Linked DNA regions of Drosophila melanogaster. The protein of the gene in region 2 interacts with the protein of the main gene of each other region in a pairwise test. Each region holds a gene or a part of one and is shown on either strand. Other genes may lie near its edges. The genes, in order: Pmi, mRpS26, CG17739 and e(r).

Region 1 (6,943 bases), about 12 Mb from region 2:
CAGTTTTGAACTTGAACCAATTCGCCTGGTTTCTTTTTCAGTCTTTTTGCCATCCATACATGTTTTATATGCGACCATAATGGCATTTGGTGGTCGCTTTATGGTTCCCCTAACAACAAAGAAGTGAATAAATTATAAGTTTTTTTTTTTATTTCGTCGCTTTCGCAGCTCTGTTTTAACAAAAACGCGTCTCATACGCGAGTTTTAATTAGCAAATATTTGCAAATTACAACGATCCGTGATCCGGTGGCGTTCGCCTTGAGATCACTGGGACCTTGAACCAATTTCAATGGGAAGACCACTAATAAATCTCATTGATAAATACATATATGCAGAATTATTAAACAATAAGTTTCGTCGTTTGCCTAGTGAGTTTTTTTGTTTTGATTAAAGCAAAGGCTTCAAACTTGATATTCGTCACTTTTTATAAAGAAGTTGGAGCCTAACTTGGTTGTAGATTCAGTATATTGAAGCTTTCTATGTAAGTCAAGATGAAAAGTTGTTCTTATTTAATTTAATTATATATTTTACAAGTATGTAAGTAAGTAAATTCAATCTCTTTAAGAACATATACATATATATAGTATAAATATTAATCATACAATGTGGATTTGAGAAAAAACCCGACTAATCCGTGGACTTCTTATCATTCTTTGTAGTGACCGCAGTCCATGCCAATCGCGTGACCACAGAGCAGAACCAACGAATCGCAGATCTTCCAGCGAAGAAGGAAAGCAGAATATGGTGCAGGATCAGGGGGAGACGACAGGCCTGCCAGAGGCGCTGCTGAAGATCGCCAAGCGGGAGCTGCGCGAGGATCGATGCACGCGGGAGCAGTCGCTGGAGCAGCTGCGCAACTGGGTGGCCAAGAACGAGGATCTGCAGAATGTGCGATGCGACGATACCTTCCTGCTGCGCTTCCTGCGCGCCAAGAAGTTCAGTGTGCCGATGGCCGAGCAGACGCTGCTCAAGTACCTGAACATCAGGAGGACGTTCCCGCACATGAGCACCCAGCTGGACTATCTGGAGCCGCGTCTCGGCGACCTCATCGATCAGGGATACATATTTGCGGTGCCACAGCGTGACAAGCACGGTCGCCGCGTGGTGGTCATCAATGCCAAGGGGCTAAATCCGAAGATCCACACAAGCTGCGACCAGGCCAAGGCGCACTTCCTCACCTACGAGTGCTTGATGGAGGATCAGGAAACACAGATCACTGGGCTAACGCATGTGGGCGACTTCGCCGGCGTGACCACGGCGCATGTGACCAACTGGAATCCCACGGAGTTTGCCCGCATCTTCAAGTGGGGTGAGCAATCGCTGCCCATGCGTCACAAGGAGATCCACCTGATCAATGTACCATCCACACTCAAGTGGCTTATTGATTTCGTGAAGAACCGCGTCAGTTCCAAGATGAAGAACCGCCTGATCATCTACGGCAGCGAGAAGGAGCTGATGAAGAGCGTGGACCAGGGCTGTCTGCCGCTGGAAATGGGTGGCAAGGTGCCCATGCGCGAGATGATCGAGCTGTGGAAGCAGGAGCTGGCGACCAAGCGCGACCTGATTCTCGGTCTGGACAAGAGCATACTGCGCTCCGATCGCGGCATCCAGCGGCGCAGCAGCTTCAATGCCGGAAAGGCCTCCACCGGCGGACCCAACTTCGTTTCACAAATCGAGTCCATCGAGGGTAGCTTTCGGAAACTGGAGTTCGACTAACCGATCGCCAGTTGTAGTTTAAGTTTATAGTCCTTAGTCTTAGGCAACATCCAATCAATTAACCCAATGCGCAACGCTTCGCCGGTCCCCCGATCCTGGCCAGCGCCCGATCCTGGGGATCCCTGATTCGCTTATCGGTGGCAACCGCTTTACTCATCCTGCGCTTCTTTGTATACTGTGTTTGTGTTTGGCGTACAATAAACGAGAGGAATAATTTGGAATCATCTCTTTGTTGCTTCACTTGGACGTTTGGTGGCTCGCGTAGTGCGGCCAGTGCCTCAGTTCCCGCTGCAGTGCGTCCGTATAGCTGCCCAACACGAAGAGTTGGTAAATTGGCTGCAGAATCCGACGCTTTAAAGACTCAAGGATCAGAGCCTGGGCGGCCATCAACTGGCAATCGATGGGTGGTCTGCCGCTGAAGTTACCCACAAAGGCCATCACCAACGAGTCTATTCCATTTAGATCCCTTGGATACTGGCTCCGATAGTGCCATCCTTGTGCCTCGAAAACCTGACAATCACCGGCGACCAGAAAGTTGTAGGGCAGCTCCCCCACATGCGACCTCTAAGGAGATGAATGAATTTAGCTTTGATTACAATGTACTACACATACTTATGTCCGATTAACTCACTTCCAGCTTATGCAATACATCCGGGCAATCATCGTGGCATTCATTGCTTCCAGTGTGGGTAAAAATCACTGTGCCGACACCGATCGGATCGAAAAGAGTTCCCCGACCCTGAAGTTCCATATCCGACCATATGCCATGACCCACGATACTGAGTCGATAGCCAAAGTCCGGCGTTTGGGCTGCAAGCAGTGCAAAGTGATTCAGTCATTAAGTGGCTTTGTCCACCTATAAAGGCGAATTTAGAAAAATTTAACAATGAGTCATATGCATGCATACGAAAAATAAAACGAATCTTAAGTTAAACAAAAAAAAAAAATGAGGGATGGCTTTAAAATGTTTTACTATACAAATTTAATGCCAGATACATTATATTATGAGTATAGATCGATTTTTCTTTGAATACTTTCGCCTGCCCATCAAAACGCACATGAGCAGCTTATCATAACTCACAGCTAATTGAGATTTATTTATTATGCATATATGTAACAATAACGATTTGAGCACGTACTCGTGCACGTCCACCATCAGCGGGCAAACTCACTTTGTCTCCAGAGCAAATAGGCGGCCAGTGCCAAGGCGGATGCACACATGACCAGCAGTCCCACCGAGCGCCAATTGAAGCAGTCTTCGTGGAGCGTCGGGTTCCTTCGGCAATTCGAAGGCGTCGTGGAGGAGGCTGAGACTGAGGCTGTGAGGGATGAGGACGTCTTGATGGACCGCTGAGCAGCTGCCAGCAAGGGAGTGGATTCGCTTGCAACGCCTTCCTTGTCCACTCGAATGTGTATATCTTGGCTGGAACCCAGGCTGCCGTACGACGACTGAGAGACGGCGGCCGGCGAGGGACTACGACGTGCTATCGTAGCGAAATATAGAGCAAACAACAAATTATGGAGTTTAGCCAAGATAAAGGCGACCAGATGATTAGTCAAGTGGCACAGTTTGTCCAGGCCACTCTGATCTTGGTGGGCATAGTATTTGCTGATGGCACGCAGACTGTAGGCGCTCACAAAGATCGGCATCTTGCCACTAACTGAGCTGGGATATCCAGCCGAGATGCACGCATTCGTATATCTCACCCATTTAACTATATCTTATCAAGACAAGGGCTTATCTATCGTCGGACTTACCCACTCGCACGGCTATGTGGCTGGAGTCCATGGCTAGACCGCTCTGGCTGCAGCCTCGGCATCAAGGTGGTGCTGTGAGTGGGTCAGCTCCTTACCGGATCGCACTGGAACACACCACTCGATCGATCGGAGTCGCCGCTGTCAACCACTGCCAGCAGAATGCACAAAACGACTGAGACGAGAACAAGGGAGAGAACCAGCCCGCATGAAGCACAACATTTCCATTAAATCATCAGCTACGAATTTCGAAGGGGTCTCTTATCGCACTCACTCTTAGACTCTCTTAGCTATGGAGTAACTTTAAAGCCGGGAGTAACATTCGCATCGCGTTTACTTGACTTTCGTTTGCTGATATCTTCAACTAGACTCTAATAACAATCATAAATGGGTTTCGCTTTATACACAGAGGTTGGCTTTGCTTAATTTACAGTGCAGAGGCTGCTCCTCCCTTAAGACTAACTTGGGCTTGGGGACCGTAATAAGTTATGAGCATGCTAGCCAGTGCAAGTGGCAGCCACGGGAACACTGGACATGGACACTGGTTTATGGGAACATTTAAAAGTTTCACGAAAGACAATACATTGTGTTAAAATCGTTCGAAAATCTAAAAGAAATGCATTCGCCTATGTGCCTAAACTTAACTTATTAGGTATTACGCGTCCGCGAGACAGGGGACAGGCCTAATCCAGCACCTGGACATTTCAGAGCTCCTGCAAATCCCTTACTTGTAGGACCTCCAAATCTGCCAGGCGCACAGGGCAGCCGAGAGCAAGGATACGCTACGGTGCAAGTATTTGGTTTTTGAGTTGGGCGAGTAGCCCAAAATCACAGGCGAGGAGACATCTGTCAGTGGCAGTTTCTCCAACACGGTGTCATTATTTTCCACCTGAAAAACACAACCAAAGTGAGCTTCTCAATCTTGGATATCTAGAACTTTTCCTTTCATACCTGATATTGACAACATGGATCGTAGTTCCAGGAAACCGTGTACAGTCCTGTGCAAAAAATCGAGAGTGCACAAGCGGGAGCTGCAATGATGGGGCGATCCCGCCACAGCAAGCTGGCCACCAGGGAAACCACTCCAGTGGCCACCGCCGTCTTGTGCAGGCAATTGCCCACCCAAATCCAACGACCTGTGGAGATATGAAATTAATACTGTGCTTTAAAAGGAAGCACTTCCAAGTGCTTACCAGTTTCGTCGCCCAGCCGAGGCGGCTCTATAACGATGAAGTCCAACTTGGCTTCCAGCGCCTTGTCCAGCTCAGCCTCGAATCTTTCATGGGCATTGGAGCTGTCGTAGACCTCGCGGATGACATGGAAAGTGGGCACCTTACTCGTGCTGCACAATTAGAACAACAATACACGAATCAATCATGGTTATCTTGATGTGGAACTCAAGGTTAAGGTCAAGATCAAGCGCTCAGAACAACCGAAGCAGAGAAGCCATTGTGCAGACGAGATAAATGAAGAAGCCGCCTAGTAAATTGCATAACCAGGGCAGGTGCACTTGGGAACTGGGATTTGGCTGCACCCAGGTGGAATGTGTTGCGTAATCCCACTGCATTCACGTAACTAGGCGCCGTATTTACCTTTCTATATTTCTGCTAACCATTTTGCTAATAAATTTGTTGTTTTCTATGTTGTTCATAAACTCAGTGCGGCCGCAGCTGGACCGTTAAAATATACCAGGTACCTAAGGGCATAATACTGCAAATAGCAATCTTCCAAAAAAATACCGCAGTTGGGCGGCACTTTTGAATTATATCGTATTCGCAAATACCATTCTCCTTTAAAGAGCGGCCTATATATAAAGGCTTAATTCCACTATTTAGCAATTTATTTGCTTATTTACCTATATTCATAAAGACAATTAGATTAGATTAAAGTTTTTAAAAATATTTCAGTATTTCTATTGTTCTTCCAACTACTCAACTCTCCCATCTCTATTTACGATAATTGAGGCATTTAAGAGGCAAATCATGTAAAATCTGTATACGATTATAGGAGCTTAACTTAATTGAAATCAATAATTATACTCCCAATAAAGATCAAAAATATAAGATACATGTGTTAAATGAATTAGCCGGCTCTTATTGTCCCAAGCGAAGAAGCCAGGATTTCGCCGGCTGTCCGATATGGTCACACTCGCCCACTCATAAGAAAAGACACCCAAAATTGAAAATGGAAAAGCATCATCGCCTGCCCCTCCCGGAATTGCACGACGACAAACACAGACACAAACAGTGCAATGGGGAGAACAGCAATCGCTTCCGGCCGCCCAAGTACAAGACGCGTGGCTACGTCGCCGTGGACAACAACAATCTGAACCGAAGCCAATCGCTGGGCTCCTGTAGCACCAACAGTTCCCAGATCGCGCACGCGATCTCCTTCCGGGACGCCGGATGTTCGGATTCCAGTACGCTGCCCTCGTCACCAGTCCAGGCCGAGCTGAGCACCCTCTCCCTGTCACACTTCGAGCAGTGCTTCGAAAGGCTGGCCAAACTGGGCGAAGGATCCTTCGGCGAGGTATTCCAGGTGCGCGATCGCTCCGACGGCCAGTTATATGCCGTCAAGATCTCCAAGCAACTGTTCCGCGGCGAACAGTACCGCGCAGAGCGGCTGGAAGAGGTGCGGCGCTACGAGGAGTTCTCCGGCCATGAGAACTGCATCCGGTTCATCCGCGCCTGGGAGCAGTACGACCGACTGTACATGCAAATGGAGCTGTGCCGCGAAAGTCTGGAGCAGTACTTGCTGCGCTGCCAAAGGATACCGGAGGAGCGCATCTGGCACATCCTGCTGGATCTGCTGCGGGGTCTCAAGTCGCTGCACGACCGGAATCTCATCCATCTGGACATTAAACTGGACAACGTTCTGATCGGCGAGGACGACGAGACGTGCAAGCTGGCAGACTTTGGACTGGTCATCGATGTGGACAGGGCCAACAGCCATCACGCCACGGAGGGAGATTCGAGGTATATGGCTCCAGAGATCCTGCAGGGTCACTTCTCCAAGGCTGCGGACATCTTCAGTCTGGGCATTGCCATGCTAGAGCTGGCATGCTACATGGATCTTCCTTCCAACGGCCCACTGTGGCACGAACTGAGGCACGGCATTCTGCCCGAGGAGTTCATAAACAGTGAGTTGCGAACTAGCTGCCTACTTAAATGGCAGGTTGCTAAAGCCTTTCTCTTCGCACAGAAATATCACTGGAGCTGCAGTCGGTAATTAAGTCCATGATGAAGCCCGATCCTGCGCAGAGGCCGACGGCCGAGCAGCTACTCTCACATCCCAAGCTGCAGTACCTGCAAAAGAAGCGCAAGTCGCTGATGAACTTCAGCATGCTGGTAAGCATTCCCAAGCACATCTTTGAGAATCAATCTTAACCCTTGACAACTTGCAGTCGCGTAGTTTTAGGCGATCTCGCCGCGCCGTTTGGGGAAGAATGTGCAATTGGAAAACAGCCGCCTTT
Region 2 (3,152 bases):
AAGGCCACTCCAGATTGGGTGCACCTTTTCCAGCAGCAGGATGCGGCATCCAAGCGAACGAATCCAGTACCGGGCACGTAGCACCCACTTCCCCATGGTAGATATGTAATATAGTAAATAGGCTGCGCCTAAGCTTAAGTTATTCCTATTCTAAATGCCGTATATAAAAGTTAAATATAGAAATTTTTATAATACAAATGCTTTTCAAAAGGTTATTAACAATTGTACTCGAATATGGAACATAAAAGAGACTCCAAGAAAGATGGGCTTGGAACTTGGGGATATGTAACGTAAATTAAGCCATCAATACTTAATGCAATGACCCAAGATTAATTTTTAGGTTAATGGATTGTTGATATATTATATGTTCAAATTAAGTGATTATTATAATTTCAAATACGGTCTTAAAATTTGAAAAGTATTCTAGTTCTAGCAAATCGCTTTACAATAGCTAGGTTATCCAATTCCTATTCTTTTGCGCAAATCAAATATACTTAAGTGTGTTGTTTATTGTGCAGAAAAATAAAAAAAAACACGGACTTTCAACTTTGGTTAGAAACCTATAAAAAGCATTTTAATGTAACAACAAACTAAGACACTGCATTAATTAATTACTCAAAACTTGCTGGTTGGGTTCGGGAGTGGCGTCCGGGAGCTGAGAGGTGCTTCGTCCGTGGTAAAGATTACCGGCCATATCGATGGCGAAATTGTGGTCCACGGGATTGGCCAACGCTGTCTCAATGGCTGCATCCAAGTTTTCCCTAGTGATATAGTTCTTGGAACGCTCAATCTCGAGCAGCACCCGCTGGTTGGCCTGCTCCTTGCGCTCCTCCTCGCGCAGCTGTTGTGCCTCCAATCGCTCCTGAATATAGGCCACCTTTTCCTCACGCTTCTTGGCCAATCGCTGATCACGCTCCTTGGCTATGGCAGCGTTCCAGGCAGCATTGGCATCCAGGCATTTCTGGAACTCGGCCTCCTCCTGCTCGGGAGTGAGCACGATGTGATCTGCTGTGGATGTTTCCTCGTGGCGGACGACTTCCTCCCTTAGAAACTGACGCACTGAGCGAAGCTGCGTTCTGAAATCAAGGCGTAGATTGTTTTGTATAACGTCTTTTGAAACCGATTACAAATTATCTTTGACCAGAGACAGAATCTGGCGCTGGTGCACGCACTTGTACTGGTTGTGTAGCCTCATGAGCTCCGTGCGCTCCTCCTCCGACTGCTTCTTGCGTTCAGGCACGCGGAACATCTTGCTCTTGGCCACCGGCAGCCATCGCGGTTTCCTGCGCCAGCGGACGAACTCGAGGGCGAAACTATTTCCGACCGTCTTCCCGGTGGGCAGGGTGGACTGCGTCAGCAGCTGGCATCCCGCTCGCAGCATTATAAAAGCAGTTTAATTAACAAAATGTAATTTTTACTTTGCCGCTGCTGAACTGTTGTGCAACTCTGTTGTCGGTGAACTGGTTCCGCGCAGTTCGATTGCTGGTTCCGTCAGTGATGACCAATATGGAAAATCGAAGAATCAAGGAATAAATCAATCTTAACAAATCAAATTCAGATAGAAAGGCAATAGTAATTTGGTTGTCAACTTACTAAATTTATTGTCGTACATATTCATATTAAAATATAATTATATACTCAGCTACATAGATATATTTTTAGGTACAGCTTAATTTTGCGTTGCTAACAAGTTTTTGCAATTAAATTGCGCAGGTTATGAATGTTTTTTATTTGTCCAAAGATACAAGCTTTGAAGTCCAGACAGATCTGTTGTGAAAATAGCCAAACTTCCAACGCACTAGTGCGTTTCTCACAATTGCGCTGCGCTCAGCTCGGGCTTAAAAGCTTTTGGCCAGGTGAACTTGACGGGAAGGTACGAAAAGTAACTGCTCACTCAGTCGACGATATATCGCCGCGCTGGCCGCATTAAAATCCGAGCTACGGAACTTCGCTGTTTCGCCTCTTGTACGTGGGCTAACTTAAAACAAAAGTGGCTTGCGCAGCCGGCGCGCCTTGAAAGTGTGTGTGTGTTCGTGTTTAAAAAAATAGTGTGCGTTATTGAAAAGCTAAGTCAGTTAGAAGCAGTGTGGAAAGTGCATATTGTATATATCTCTTGCCAAGGCTAAAAGTGTTAAAAGTTAACTCCCAGAAATGCACACACGCATACCGATGCAAGCGAAAAGTTAAAGCGACGATCATTCATTACTGCGTCTTCTTCTTATTCATCTGCTCTTTGCGACGTGTTTCGCTTACCTGTCCAAAAAGCCCGAGTATTGGTGGGCTCCACAGCTCCATAGCTCCCTCTCTCTCTCGCTCTCTTTCGATTTGCACATGCAAAAAGGCAGCAGCAGCAAGAACAACAACAAAAACTCCATCTGAGAGCTTTAAAGCCGAAGTTCTCGACGCAGACGTCGGCGGGAGCAGAGCTTCAGCAGCGCAGCGGCAGCGAACAACTCGTACAGGTTTGTTGGCATTTTTTTTCACATTGGCTTTTGATTTTTGTTTACCTCTGATTGGAATGGCAATTCGCACTGGTTGGACTGTAAATATTGTCTCATATGTGTGTCTCATGTATCCCAACCGCTTACCACGCACAGAATCGAATCGAATCGAATTGGATCGCTTCGTAGCTGGAAATTCTTATAAGGCGATCAATTTTGCATATCGAATTTGTTCAATTGCTTGAACTGCACGAAACAGGGGTTCTATTGTTCTCTTTTAATTAAATAACTAAAATGGGTAATGTAGACTTTCCTTTTTAAAACTTAGTGCCTTAAAATGCCACATCTTCTTTTCTTATAATTTAATTAGTGTACCTTAACTGTACGATTAAAAGTTTACTGCTCTCTAATCGTTGGAATGTTTATCTTATGCAACTTTTTCAATCTGTTTACTTTCACATTCTCCAGCATTTAAGATAAGATTTTATATCTAAAAACGTGATTTAAACAAGATTAATACAGAAAGAATGCAAAGTTGTTGGATGATAACGACAATGTACTAATCTAATTCCCTTTATTTCAATATAAATACTTAATATTCCCAACTATTTAGGTTAGCTTCTGTGATAGTTTGAAATTACCTATCAAATTGTGAGCTTAACTTATTTAAGCCAGTAAATTCCCGCTACACAACTTATTTTCCCACCAACA
Region 3 (5,947 bases), on a different chromosome or scaffold from region 2:
TGAGTTTCCTCACGCTTTTCACTAGCCTCGAGATCATTTTTAGCCCTCTGAATTCTTGGTATATGGTCGTAGATTAACAAAACCCCCTGATCTACAATCGCACGACACCTGGTTTTCAAGTCATTCATACTTTCGGCGGCTAGAAAATAAAAGTATGCAATTGTAAGCGAAAGAAGGATAATTCAAGGATAACAATTCATTCAATCGAAGACGTAAAATCAAAACGAACTTACGAATACTCTTGGGCAATCGAAGTAGATCATCATGGTGGACCACAAGCTTGCATTCATCGTTTACAGTCAGACCCACAAACTTGAAGACCCCTTGATTCCGGAGCTCCGAACCCATTAACCGGATCTTGTGCATAAACTCGGACTGCAGGTTCTCCAGTTTTTTTTTCTGCGTATCAAAGACCCGCATCCGGTTCATCTCCAGGACACGGCGATGCGACATCTTTTCAGGCTTCTTTACATTTTGATAAGGTTCTGTGGACGGCAATAATCAGAGAATTGGACCACGTTTCAAATATTCGCGATACCCACCGCATGTCGTTGACTTAACCAATTGTGCTGACTGGGCATGCGTCTTTATGGGAACCACGTTCCGCTTGGGGGGATTCAACTCATCGATATCAGTTTTCCGATCGGGCTCAACTACTTTATGCTCGGGCTCGACCCGTCGATTGGGCAACGAATACGTACTGACACACGGGCGCGCTTTCGTCGAAGAAGTAACCCGTTCCAGAGAAGTTTTTCGCGAATGGATAGACGACCGACTCGCTCCACGCCTATTTGGAATGTGACTGAGCCTACCTTTGTTTGGGCTTCCGTCGCCATTCTGGGTGGGAGGAGTAGAGAAGACGCCACCACAAGAAGAAGTGCGAGACTGGGACGGGGATGTAAAGCATTTGAAAAAACTAAACCCTTTTCTTCTATCTCACTCACCCATGTAGCTTTGTCTGAGGCTTGCTTTTCCGCCTTTCCAGCTGTCCTCAGCAAGAATGCTTTGTTACCTAACAAGGATAACGAGCATTTGAAGCACACATTCGTATAGCGTTCAAGGTACATGTACTTACTACGAACTGAACGCGGCGTCACGCTGGAAGAATTCATATCTAAAGTTTCGGAAATCAACGCTTTTTTGTAAACGATTTTTGTGTTCAAAATGAGGAAAAAATAGTATAGAAAATTTGTTTCTAAATATTTCCAGTTGAACTACGTCTAGTGTAAATGGTACAAAAATGCTTTCTGACCAATCCAAACGAGGTGGTTCGTGGAAGTAACATGAATTCAAACTCAGAGCACACTTGTTCAGTTCCAATGTACCCGGTGTTTTTGGGGTCTGTTTGTTTAGAATGAGCGTATGAAAACTAATGGTTTCTATCAACAAATGCGAATCTGCAAAAGAAGCGGAAACTAAGCTAAATGGGAGGGAAAAGTAGAGAGCAGTTTTTCCCTCTCTGAGGTTCTCCATGTAATCCATTCGTCGGTCCCGAATGATGCACATCGTCCATCCAATAATCGACTCGGCGAAATTTGCATTCAGTTGCTGTTCGTGCGTCCACCGAGTAAGTTCTTAGTTCGGATTTCCCTCTAAAAGCATATATTTCGAGATTGTTTCATTTACGATCCATCAATACTGAGTAACAAGAGTATGAAAAAACAATCTGTACCACCTTGCTATTAGTTTATTTTCTCAAAATAACTTAATCAACTGGATTAACATACATGATGTGCTAGTGAAAGTGGGTGCTACAATATAAGTGCAGTACTGAGGTGAAGAAGCCCTAAAAGTGACTTTAATGATTTAGATCCATGGGAAATGGACGTTTGTCACCCCCTTGTATTCGAATTCGCTGTAGACAGTCGGCGCGTTTTTCAATTGAATTTAATCAGTGACGTAGACGGTCTATATAGTACAGACTATATATTGTATATACGCAATGCGATCCGATTTTCAAGGGGTAAACAACCAACAACCCGCCTAGTTCAAGTTCCGCATGGCAATTGAGCTGGCATAATTTGGATCTCAAAGGAAATGGAAAGTGTCTGCGAAAATAGCAATATGCACTATGTGTGACATCACGCAAAGTCATTCAATTGAAGGCTATTTCTACGAATTCAAGTTCAGTTTGAAACTGGAAGTAGGCTCCATTGGTTGCCATTGACATTCGATACCAATGCGGATAATTAAGACAATTAAGTGCTGGCCAGAAATAGTTTTTTCCCCCACAACCACGTGGCTGCATCAAATGATTGTAAATTTGTATTCCCACTCAATTTTGCATTGCAGCTCTTTGAAATGAAAGCTCTGGAAGGTTTCACTATTCTTCTCGCATTAGTGGGTGTTATTCCCCGGATCGAGGGCTGCATTAGGGTCCCACCGGGAGTCACAGCAGCCAAGTCACCGGTGGATGATAACTATGTGCTGTCCGTAAACGGAAATACGCAGAGTTATGTGCCCGGTCAAAGGTATAATGGTGAGTGCATTAAATTAAGCATTAAATTAAATTAAATTTACAAATTTCTAGATTTTTCTTTCAATTCTCTAATCTTTCGCTGCTCGTTTTCAGTTAGCCTCAGTGCATTTTCTGGCTTGTCCTTCATTAGCTTTATGCTGGCCCTGGATTTGGAGAGTGGTGACGGCGATGGTGACGCCAATGCCCTGGGCACCTGGGAGATCGCCGATCTCGCCGAGACCCGTTTCAGTCCGCGCTGCCCAAATCTTGTCGAGAATACCAACACGAACGTGAAGACACGCGTGGATGTGTTCTGGGTGGCTCCATCGAGTCCGGGACAGGGCTGCATCCTGCTGAGGGCTACGGTGATGCAGCATCGAGATGTGTGGTTCATGGATGATGGCTTCCTTACCAAGCGTATGTGCGAGGAGGAGGTGGACGACATTGACACCCAGCCCAGCATCGTGGATCCGTGCTGTGCCTGTGACGAGGCCAAATATGAGGTGGGACTCTTTTAACTCATTATTGAAATGGTATTAACACCTCCTTACTTCAGCTTACCTTCGAAGGCAAGTGGTCGCGTCACACACATCCCAAGGACTTTCCAGCGAATAGCTGGCGCACCAGATTCAGCGATATCATTGGTGCCTCGCACACACTGGACTACAGATTCTGGCAGTATGGAGAGCTGGCCAGCGAGGGGCTGCGTGAGGTGGCGGAGCATGGCTCCACAAGGACCTTGGAGAGTGAGCTGAAGGATCAGAGCGAACACATTCGCACGATCATCAAGGCAAGGGGCATTGCCTATCCGAATGTTACGGGCAAAACATTTGCCGTTTTTCGCGTCGACTCCAACCACCATTTGATCTCCCTCGTATCAATGGTGGATCCCTCTCCAGACTGGATCGTTGGTGTATCCGGCCTCGAGCTATGTCTGCCCAACTGTTCCTGGGTGGAGAACAAGGTGCACAACCTATATCCCTGGGATGCGGGCACCGATAGTGGTCCATCATATATGGTAAGACGATTTCCATGATTTAGTCTTCAGTAGAGTCAATCACGAATACTTTTCAGTCCGCTGACCAGCCACAGGTGCCTCCAGATGTTGTGCGCCGCATCAAATCAAATTTCCCCAACGATCCCCGTTCGCCCTTTTATGATCCCACTGGTGCCCAGATGAAGCCATTGGCCACCCTGCACATCAATCGAAGACGACTCTACGAAAAGAACTGCGAGTCCTCCGATTGTAAGTTAAATGCAACCATATATTGATGTTGTGAATATACATACTATATACTTTAATCCTGTAGCGGAACAGGTACCGCCGGAGTGCGCCACAAACTCGTGGTCCAGATGGGATGAATGCACCACAAAGTGCGGTCCCGGCAAGCAATACAGAATCCGAGAGTTCAAGAACCCTGCATTGGCTTCGGTAATTAAGACGACATATATAATTTGGATCCCATACTATATATACATTTTGACACCTACCTTAGCGTCATCGTTGCAACAATGCCCTGCGTGAGGAGAAGAACTGCGTGGGACACAAGTGCGCTGGCTTCAATGAGGAGACAGCTGAAGGCGGCGAGCCGGAGGTGGCGCCATCACCAGGTAGCAGCGACGATCCCCAGTGCGGTCTGTCTGACTGGTCGGAGTGGTCTTCGTGCACCGTGACTTGTGGAACCGGCGAAATGACCCGATCCCGACACTATCTAAACAAGAAGGCCAAGAAGAAGTGCCAGAAGGCAAGCAGGGCGCGTCTGCATGAGACCAAGATTTGCGAGGCAATGGAATGCGGTGGGGACATCGAGAACGAAGGTGGTGCTGGGGAACCGGAGGAGGAACAGGCCGGTGGCGACGGAGGTGGATCCGCTGAGAAACGCTCCATATTCCGCAACTTCGAGAGTTACAGTCAGCATCGGGAGGATTACATACCACCGGTTTGCGGGGTCACTCCATGGTCGGATTTCTCGCCGTGCATGGGGCCATGCGGTGGACATGGAAAGCGGCAACGTATTCGCAAGGTGTGGAATAACAACCAGGTGTACGGAGTAACGGATCCCAATGATGACGGCCAGGATCCCTGTCGACACATCAAGCTGCACGAGGAGGTGAACTGCACCAATCCTAGCTGCGATACCATTGTTCCCGGCTTCTGCTACGACGAGCTGACCGACAGTCCGTGTCGGGATAACGATGTGGCCAACTTCTGGTACTACGACCATGTGAGTGACCAGTGTGCCATCTATTGGTCGGATCGTTGTGATACAAATCGCAACAAATTCAAGTCGAAGGAGGAGTGCGAGGAGACATGTCGCCTGCCGCGCCACAAACAGGAACTGCAGCACGATGGCATTCCAGCCATTGATTGTCTCGTCTCTGACTGGGTTTCCCACAGTTGCAACGCCTCCTGCGGCGATGGCTTCCAATTGCGAACGCGTCGGGTGCTCCGTACTCCGAAGTATGGAGGCAAGCCATGTCCCAAGCACCTGGTACGTTTGGATCGCTGCTACCAGCGGTGCGATGACATGTACTCAATCAGTGGACGGGGATTTGGAGAGCGAAGGCATGTGGTAAGAGCTCCGCAACCGGAACCGCAGGACGAGTGTCGCTACTCGGAGTGGTCCGCCTGGACACCATGCACCGCCACGTGTGGCGATAATGCCGTTCGCCAACGAACCCGAACCCTAATGAACACCGATCTGAGCTACAAGTGCAAGGATCGCGTCCGCATGGAAAAGTGCGTGATGATGCCTTGCCAGCTGACCAGCAACGATGATCCAGAGCGGTGGTGAACATACCATTAACTGCTACAAGTATTAGTTCTAATCCAACTATGTAATCATTACCAATGGATATCGTTAAATATATGAAAAATTCCAGACTACCTACACTAGCTCTTCTCGCAACAGATTAAATATGTATTAAAAACAATAAAACAGAATTGTGTTCGCGTGGTAATTCCAATTCCGATTGAGTTTAACCTTGACCCAGTTCCATTAAGCAAACAGTGGCCAGTTTACGAGTGATTTTTCGCCGGGTTGCAAGTTCAAAGAACCCGGGCACAATTCATCAATTGAAAAGCTTGCCATAAAAACAAACCATTCCTAATTGAAGACAACTCAATCAAGATGCCATAAGCTGTCAACGCCGAGAGCGCCATTTAAGGGATAATTGATAAATTGGAAATGCTCATCAATTAATGGAGATGGCTAGCCATCAGTTTTGGTCAGTCGCCGTTGAGCCTCGACCCAGTACGGATCGCTAAGATTGAGAAGAGATGCTTCGCCATATCGTGCTCCTCATTCTGCTGTCTTCCGAAGTCAGAGGAGTCTGCAATCGGATACCCCAAGGTGCCAGTGGCCCTCGATCGCCTGTGGATGATAACTTTAAGATCCTTATCGATGGCAATCCAGAGACCTATGTGCCAGAACATCAGTACAATGGTGAGAGTCTCGAGTTGTCCTGAAGCTTTTACTTCAACATTAT
Region 4 (4,650 bases), on a different chromosome or scaffold from region 2:
CTCCTCATCGACGTTGGCAGAGGCAGCGACCTCTGACGTCACGGGGCGGTAAATCAAAGGCTTCACGTTGCGTTCGAAATCGTCGAGGAAAACGACATCGTGGACGGGAATAATGCGGTGATCGGTGACGTTGAAGTGGAGATCGCGAAAGGGGCCGTTGAAGAGGCAGCGCAACGGTGACGTCACCAGCACAGCATCTTCCGGAGGTAACTGTAAAAAATGTACAATATTTGTTGTATTTTAACGTATATCAAACATTTACTGATATAGTTTTATATTAAATCAAATACACCGCAACAAATCTCGTGCAAACATCAGATAAGATATTGATACGATACGATAATTAGTATAATATTTAAACAATGCGCAGTCAGGAGAAATATAGAATGGCTTATCAATTTTAAAATAAAACTAACGGAAACAGTAATATTGTACATATTTCAGTTTCAACTCAAAGCATAAGTTTCTCTGTAGCCAAGACACCATTTGGTAAGTTAAGAAAACTATTAAGTGGACGTTTTTTTTTTTACCTTGATTTTGCCATTGGTCGCCGAGAACATTGAGATTTCGAGATTTCAGCGATAAGAGATGAGCAACAACACAAATCAAATAGAATGCACAAGAAACACAGATACAACACCCACACATGAATGATCGTGCAACGGTGTGCGCAGAACAGTGAAGAGGAAGCAGAGAGACGAAGCAGAGGCGACAAATTGGACACGCGTGCGTCGCGTTGGTTGGATTTTGTGTTTTCTTATTTGACTATTGCCTTTTCGGTGCTACTTTAACGGGTTTCCCCGTTTCACAGCCTTTATCATCTTATTTTCGCAGGGCTTTTTTGCTTTTCAATTTACTGCCTGGGTTTCATTTAACTTCGCTGCTCTTCTACTTCATTCATTATTTGATTTGTTTACGTTGCTATTTCCCAATTTGTTTGCTTCTTTTCACTTCATTTTCTTTCAATTAGGACGCACACAAACACACAGGAAAAAACAAAAAAAAAAAAAGAGAGACACGAACGCCACTTGCACAATTGAAAATAACAACAAATTAATGGGAACGCGCGAAACACGGGCTGCTGCGGCTGCGCCTTCACTTTTCACTAAAACAAAAAGCACGTAAATAATGTTGAGACGAGATTTTGCTTTTTGTTGTTGATTTCTTTGCCGATCGCTCTGCCGCCGCTCGACTGCGCTGCCCGCGACACCGCGCTCTTCCAATTGGTCCAATTGAGATCAAACAGCTGGTGGGCACTCGGATCTTCGATTGCCGCTGTCTGGCAGCACTGGGAACAGTGAGAACAGTGGCCAGACTGCGGAGCTGGCGATGGGCGATAGTTTTGTTTCATTAAAAGTAACTTTTGACTTTATATTAAATACAATACTAAAAAATGTAAAAATATGCTTTTTAATATGCACTTTAAGTGAAAATGATTGTACATTAAGTTTACTTCATAAAGACTTTAATGACCATAATTTGTTGATGGGCGTTAATTTTATTCTAACTTAAATAAACGTAATACCTAATATTTATATGTAATAACAAAATAAAATGAACCTAAATAAATAATGCAATCCACTTTAATTTGACATTATAATTATAATTTTTTTATAAATATATAAAATAAAAATAATAAATAAATAATTTCCGTAGTTATTGTAATGTATTACTATGATGAGTATATGTTAAAAGCTTTAGTTAATTTTATTTAAAAAATCTGAAGACTAAATATGGAATGAATTACGCCAAATGAAATGAAAATATGCATTGAAAAACATGCTTTATACCTAAAGGCGTAATATACATAAAGTGTGCTTTTCAATAAAAAAGTGAATGAACATAATATGGAATCAAATACATATACAAATTGAAATGCAAGTATACATTGATACAATTAAGTATAAAAAATCACAATTGTCATTTAATTTGGTAAATATTATTAAACAATGTATATCAAATAAAAGATGTTAGTATTAATCGATATCTTTCGATTATTTTGTCACGGCGAGGCACGCAGCGAAGCGCTCATCTCTAGCTTCAGCCTCCTCTTCAAAACCCATAGAACTGGCAAAATAAAAAAAAACGAATCAAGCGCTGATTTTACCGAATCTCTTTACTGAATCAGCATATTATCATAGTCCATATAGTCCGGCGTTCGAACGGGTAAGTTGAACACTAAACGGGAGACATGGGAATTATTTAAAATTCGAGAAAAATCGGTGAAAAGGAAGAAAAACAAGTGATTGCATACAGTTAGTTACACACACGCGGCGGCCGTTACTCCTTGTACATGTGTGTGCGTGTCTGTTCGCGCTTCCGAATGTTTGTGTTTTAGTGAAGCGGCATAAGCGTGCATTATCTTGTACAAATGTACGCATTTCTCCATTGCCAACATTCGCTTCACACACAAATTACTCGTTTTCCATGCTGGAAGTGCCATCTTAGTCTATTTCCCAGTTGCAAATTGGAAAATCAAAGAGCGTTCTGCTGGCCAGCATGTGTGGTGCGCGTGTATTGGTGTTGCGGCGAGAGCGCGAGCGAGATGGGGCGATGCGTTGCATGCGGCAACAGCATATCTCTTCCATCTCTTTCGTTTTTGTTCTTTTCCTTTTTTTTTTGTCTTTTTTTTTTTTGCTGACAGCTCTCTATGCTTCTAATAAATATTTATGCACAATTTTTGCAGAGCTGGCGAAGTAAACTTCAACTTCGAGAGTCTCGGAATCTTTCGGACTTTGCTATAGAAAAAACGCTTGTTAAAAAAAAGGATGTAAGTGATGAAGATGAAACGTAATGTAATGAAACGCACACTAGTAACATACATACATACATATCGCTTGAGTACATAGATCACCGCCAATAACATTAATGTTCCATTTTTGCCTTGCAGATCACCATGTCGCACACCATCCTATTGGTACAGCCGGGTGCTCGTCCGGAGACCCGCACTTACTGTGACTACGAGAGCGTCAACGAGTGCATGGAGGGCGTGTGCAAGATCTACGAGGAGCACCTGAAGCGCCGCAATCCAAACACTCCGACCATTACGTATGACATTAGCCAGCTATTCGATTTCATCGACACAATGGTGGACATTAGCTGCATGGTTTACCAGAAGAGCACCAATACCTATGCGCCCTACAATAAGGATTGGATCAAGGAGAAGATCTATGTGCTGCTCCGTCAGGCGGCATTTAGTTCCAATACCTAAAGGGACGGCGATGCGACAAGATACATACATATAAAACCAAATAACACGATGATGCATGCATCAATGCGTGCAACACTAACGACAACAACACGTTGATGTATGCAACAATGCGTGCAATAGCAACTACAACAACAACAACAATACGAGGATACATGCAACAGCGCTTGGAACAGCATCCGCAACGGCCACAACACCATAACACCAATAACACCAACAAGATGAGGAAGAAGAAGAAGATGATGATGGAGTGGTGGGGCATCGATTCCATTGGAGACTTGCTGCTACCGACTAGATCGCCAAATGACAGCAACTTTTTTTTGCAACATAACGCAATGCAAAAAAGGAAAAGGAACACAAAGAGAACGATAAACTGTATAACTTAGAAATGGAAAACTTACTTTAAACGTACTAATATATATATATATATATAAATATATATATAGGCGTATATATATATATATACTGTATATACACCCAACTGACAACTGTGTGTGTTTTTGTGTGTTTCAATGTTTTTTTGTGCGGCAGCCACAGGTGACGGTTGTTCTTATCGATAGCGAACTGTATGTTTGTTTGTTTGTAAAACCGAATGGCAAATTTGCAAGTGTGCATTTTTTTTTTGTATGTTTTGCCGTGTGTGCTAGCTTAAGTCTTTGCAATCTATCGAATAATAAACTAACACATCAGGACACACTGAGCATATATAAACATATTTGTAAACTACTGATTCCCCCCCCCCCCCTTTATCATTTGAACTTAGTTAAACAACAACTTTTAGCCCGCTGATTTTGCACACCGATGGGCTTTGTGGCGTTTTAACGGCTTGTTTTAAGCAAAACAGAACCTTTGGTCGCAGATGCGAAATGACCTTGAGATGCTGGTTGTTGTGTGTGTGGTGAGGGGGGAGGGGTAGGGGTTTGTGGGTTGTACCCCCGCCAGATATTCAATCGGATAACGAACTTGGACCGCCGCTGAATCGCTTGGCCGCACTGCATTGAACTTGGCGTGCGATATTTAATTAGCTCCGCGACAGCATTTTGTTAAATATATATATATATATATATATATATGTATATATGCACATTTAGTGTCGACTTGTGGATGCTGCTTACTAGCGTTAACTAGCAATAAACATAGTGTTTATAGTTTACCCATTATATTTGCTGAATATTAATGATCACTAGATTTCTCATTATTCAGACAAATATATTTGTTTGTGAAAAAAGCATTTGCTACAGCAAACTGTACAGTTTATTACAAAAATATGTATATATATTTTCAAAAAAAAAAAAAAAAGAATTTCTCCTATTTAAAGTAGTTTGCTTGCCACGCAACTCCGCGCTTTTTACAGGGTATGCAATAGCGCTACAGCTGCGTCGAATATGGTGCATAGTTTTTTTTTTTAGAATATTTTTCAAAACTGGTTTTAAACACTGCAT

Evidence for each region.
Region 1: the proteins of mRpS26 (region 2) and Pmi interact in a two-hybrid assay, tested with the Drosophila melanogaster proteins (one large-scale study listed by BioGRID).
Region 3: the proteins of mRpS26 (region 2) and CG17739 interact in a two-hybrid assay, tested with the Drosophila melanogaster proteins (one large-scale study listed by BioGRID).
Region 4: the proteins of mRpS26 (region 2) and e(r) interact in a two-hybrid assay, tested with the Drosophila melanogaster proteins (one large-scale study listed by BioGRID).

What each region holds. Positions count from the first base shown.
Region 1 is NT_037436.4:5,778,254-5,785,196, reverse strand, and holds Pmi (Pmi), read right to left. Parts: upstream 5,147-6,943; 5' UTR 5,087-5,146; coding exon 5,064-5,086; exon of another isoform or gene 4,814-5,063; coding exon 4,665-4,813; intron 4,610-4,664; exon of another isoform or gene 4,608-4,609; coding exon 4,423-4,607; exon of another isoform or gene 4,361-4,422; coding exon 4,200-4,360; coding exon of another isoform or gene 4,196-4,199; exon of another isoform or gene 3,647-4,195; coding exon 3,616-3,646; 3' UTR 3,506-3,615; coding exon of another isoform or gene 3,475-3,505; exon of another isoform or gene 3,367-3,474; coding exon of another isoform or gene 2,889-3,366; intron 2,573-2,888; exon of another isoform or gene 2,527-2,572; coding exon of another isoform or gene 2,348-2,526; intron 2,281-2,347; coding exon of another isoform or gene 1,954-2,280; 3' UTR 1,717-1,953; coding exon of another isoform or gene 742-1,716; 3' UTR 512-741; downstream 1-511. Other genes in the region: Cralbp (cellular retinaldehyde binding protein), read left to right, coding at 742-1,716; PGRP-LD (peptidoglycan recognition protein LD), read right to left, coding at 1,954-2,280, 2,348-2,526, 2,889-3,366; Myt1, read left to right, coding at 5,656-6,610, 6,673-6,818, 6,875-6,943. UniProt on the Drosophila melanogaster protein: Plays a role in mitochondrial morphogenesis.
Region 2 is NT_037436.4:18,104,891-18,108,042, reverse strand, and holds mRpS26 (mitochondrial ribosomal protein S26), read right to left. Parts: upstream 1,465-3,152; 5' UTR 1,382-1,464; coding exon 1,173-1,381; intron 1,077-1,172; coding exon 608-1,076; 3' UTR 544-607; downstream 1-543. Other genes in the region: Polr3D (RNA polymerase III subunit D), read left to right, coding at 1-81.
Region 3 is NT_033778.4:12,304,987-12,310,933, forward strand, and holds CG17739 (uncharacterized protein), read left to right. Parts: upstream 1-1,541; 5' UTR 1,542-1,567; intron 1,568-2,292; 5' UTR 2,293-2,301; coding exon 2,302-2,479; intron 2,480-2,572; coding exon 2,573-2,961; intron 2,962-3,014; coding exon 3,015-3,476; intron 3,477-3,532; coding exon 3,533-3,704; intron 3,705-3,768; coding exon 3,769-3,890; intron 3,891-3,954; coding exon 3,955-5,253; 3' UTR 5,254-5,426; downstream 5,427-5,947. Other genes in the region: salto, read right to left, coding at 1-139, 234-485, 543-885, 945-1,012, 1,076-1,112; CG30203 (uncharacterized protein), read left to right, coding at 5,739-5,904.
Region 4 is NC_004354.4:8,903,625-8,908,274, reverse strand, and holds e(r) (enhancer of rudimentary), read left to right. Parts: upstream 1-2,026; 5' UTR 2,027-2,166; intron 2,167-2,284; exon of another isoform or gene 2,285-2,506; intron 2,507-2,686; exon of another isoform or gene 2,687-2,770; intron 2,771-2,890; 5' UTR 2,891-2,896; coding exon 2,897-3,211; 3' UTR 3,212-4,131; downstream 4,132-4,650.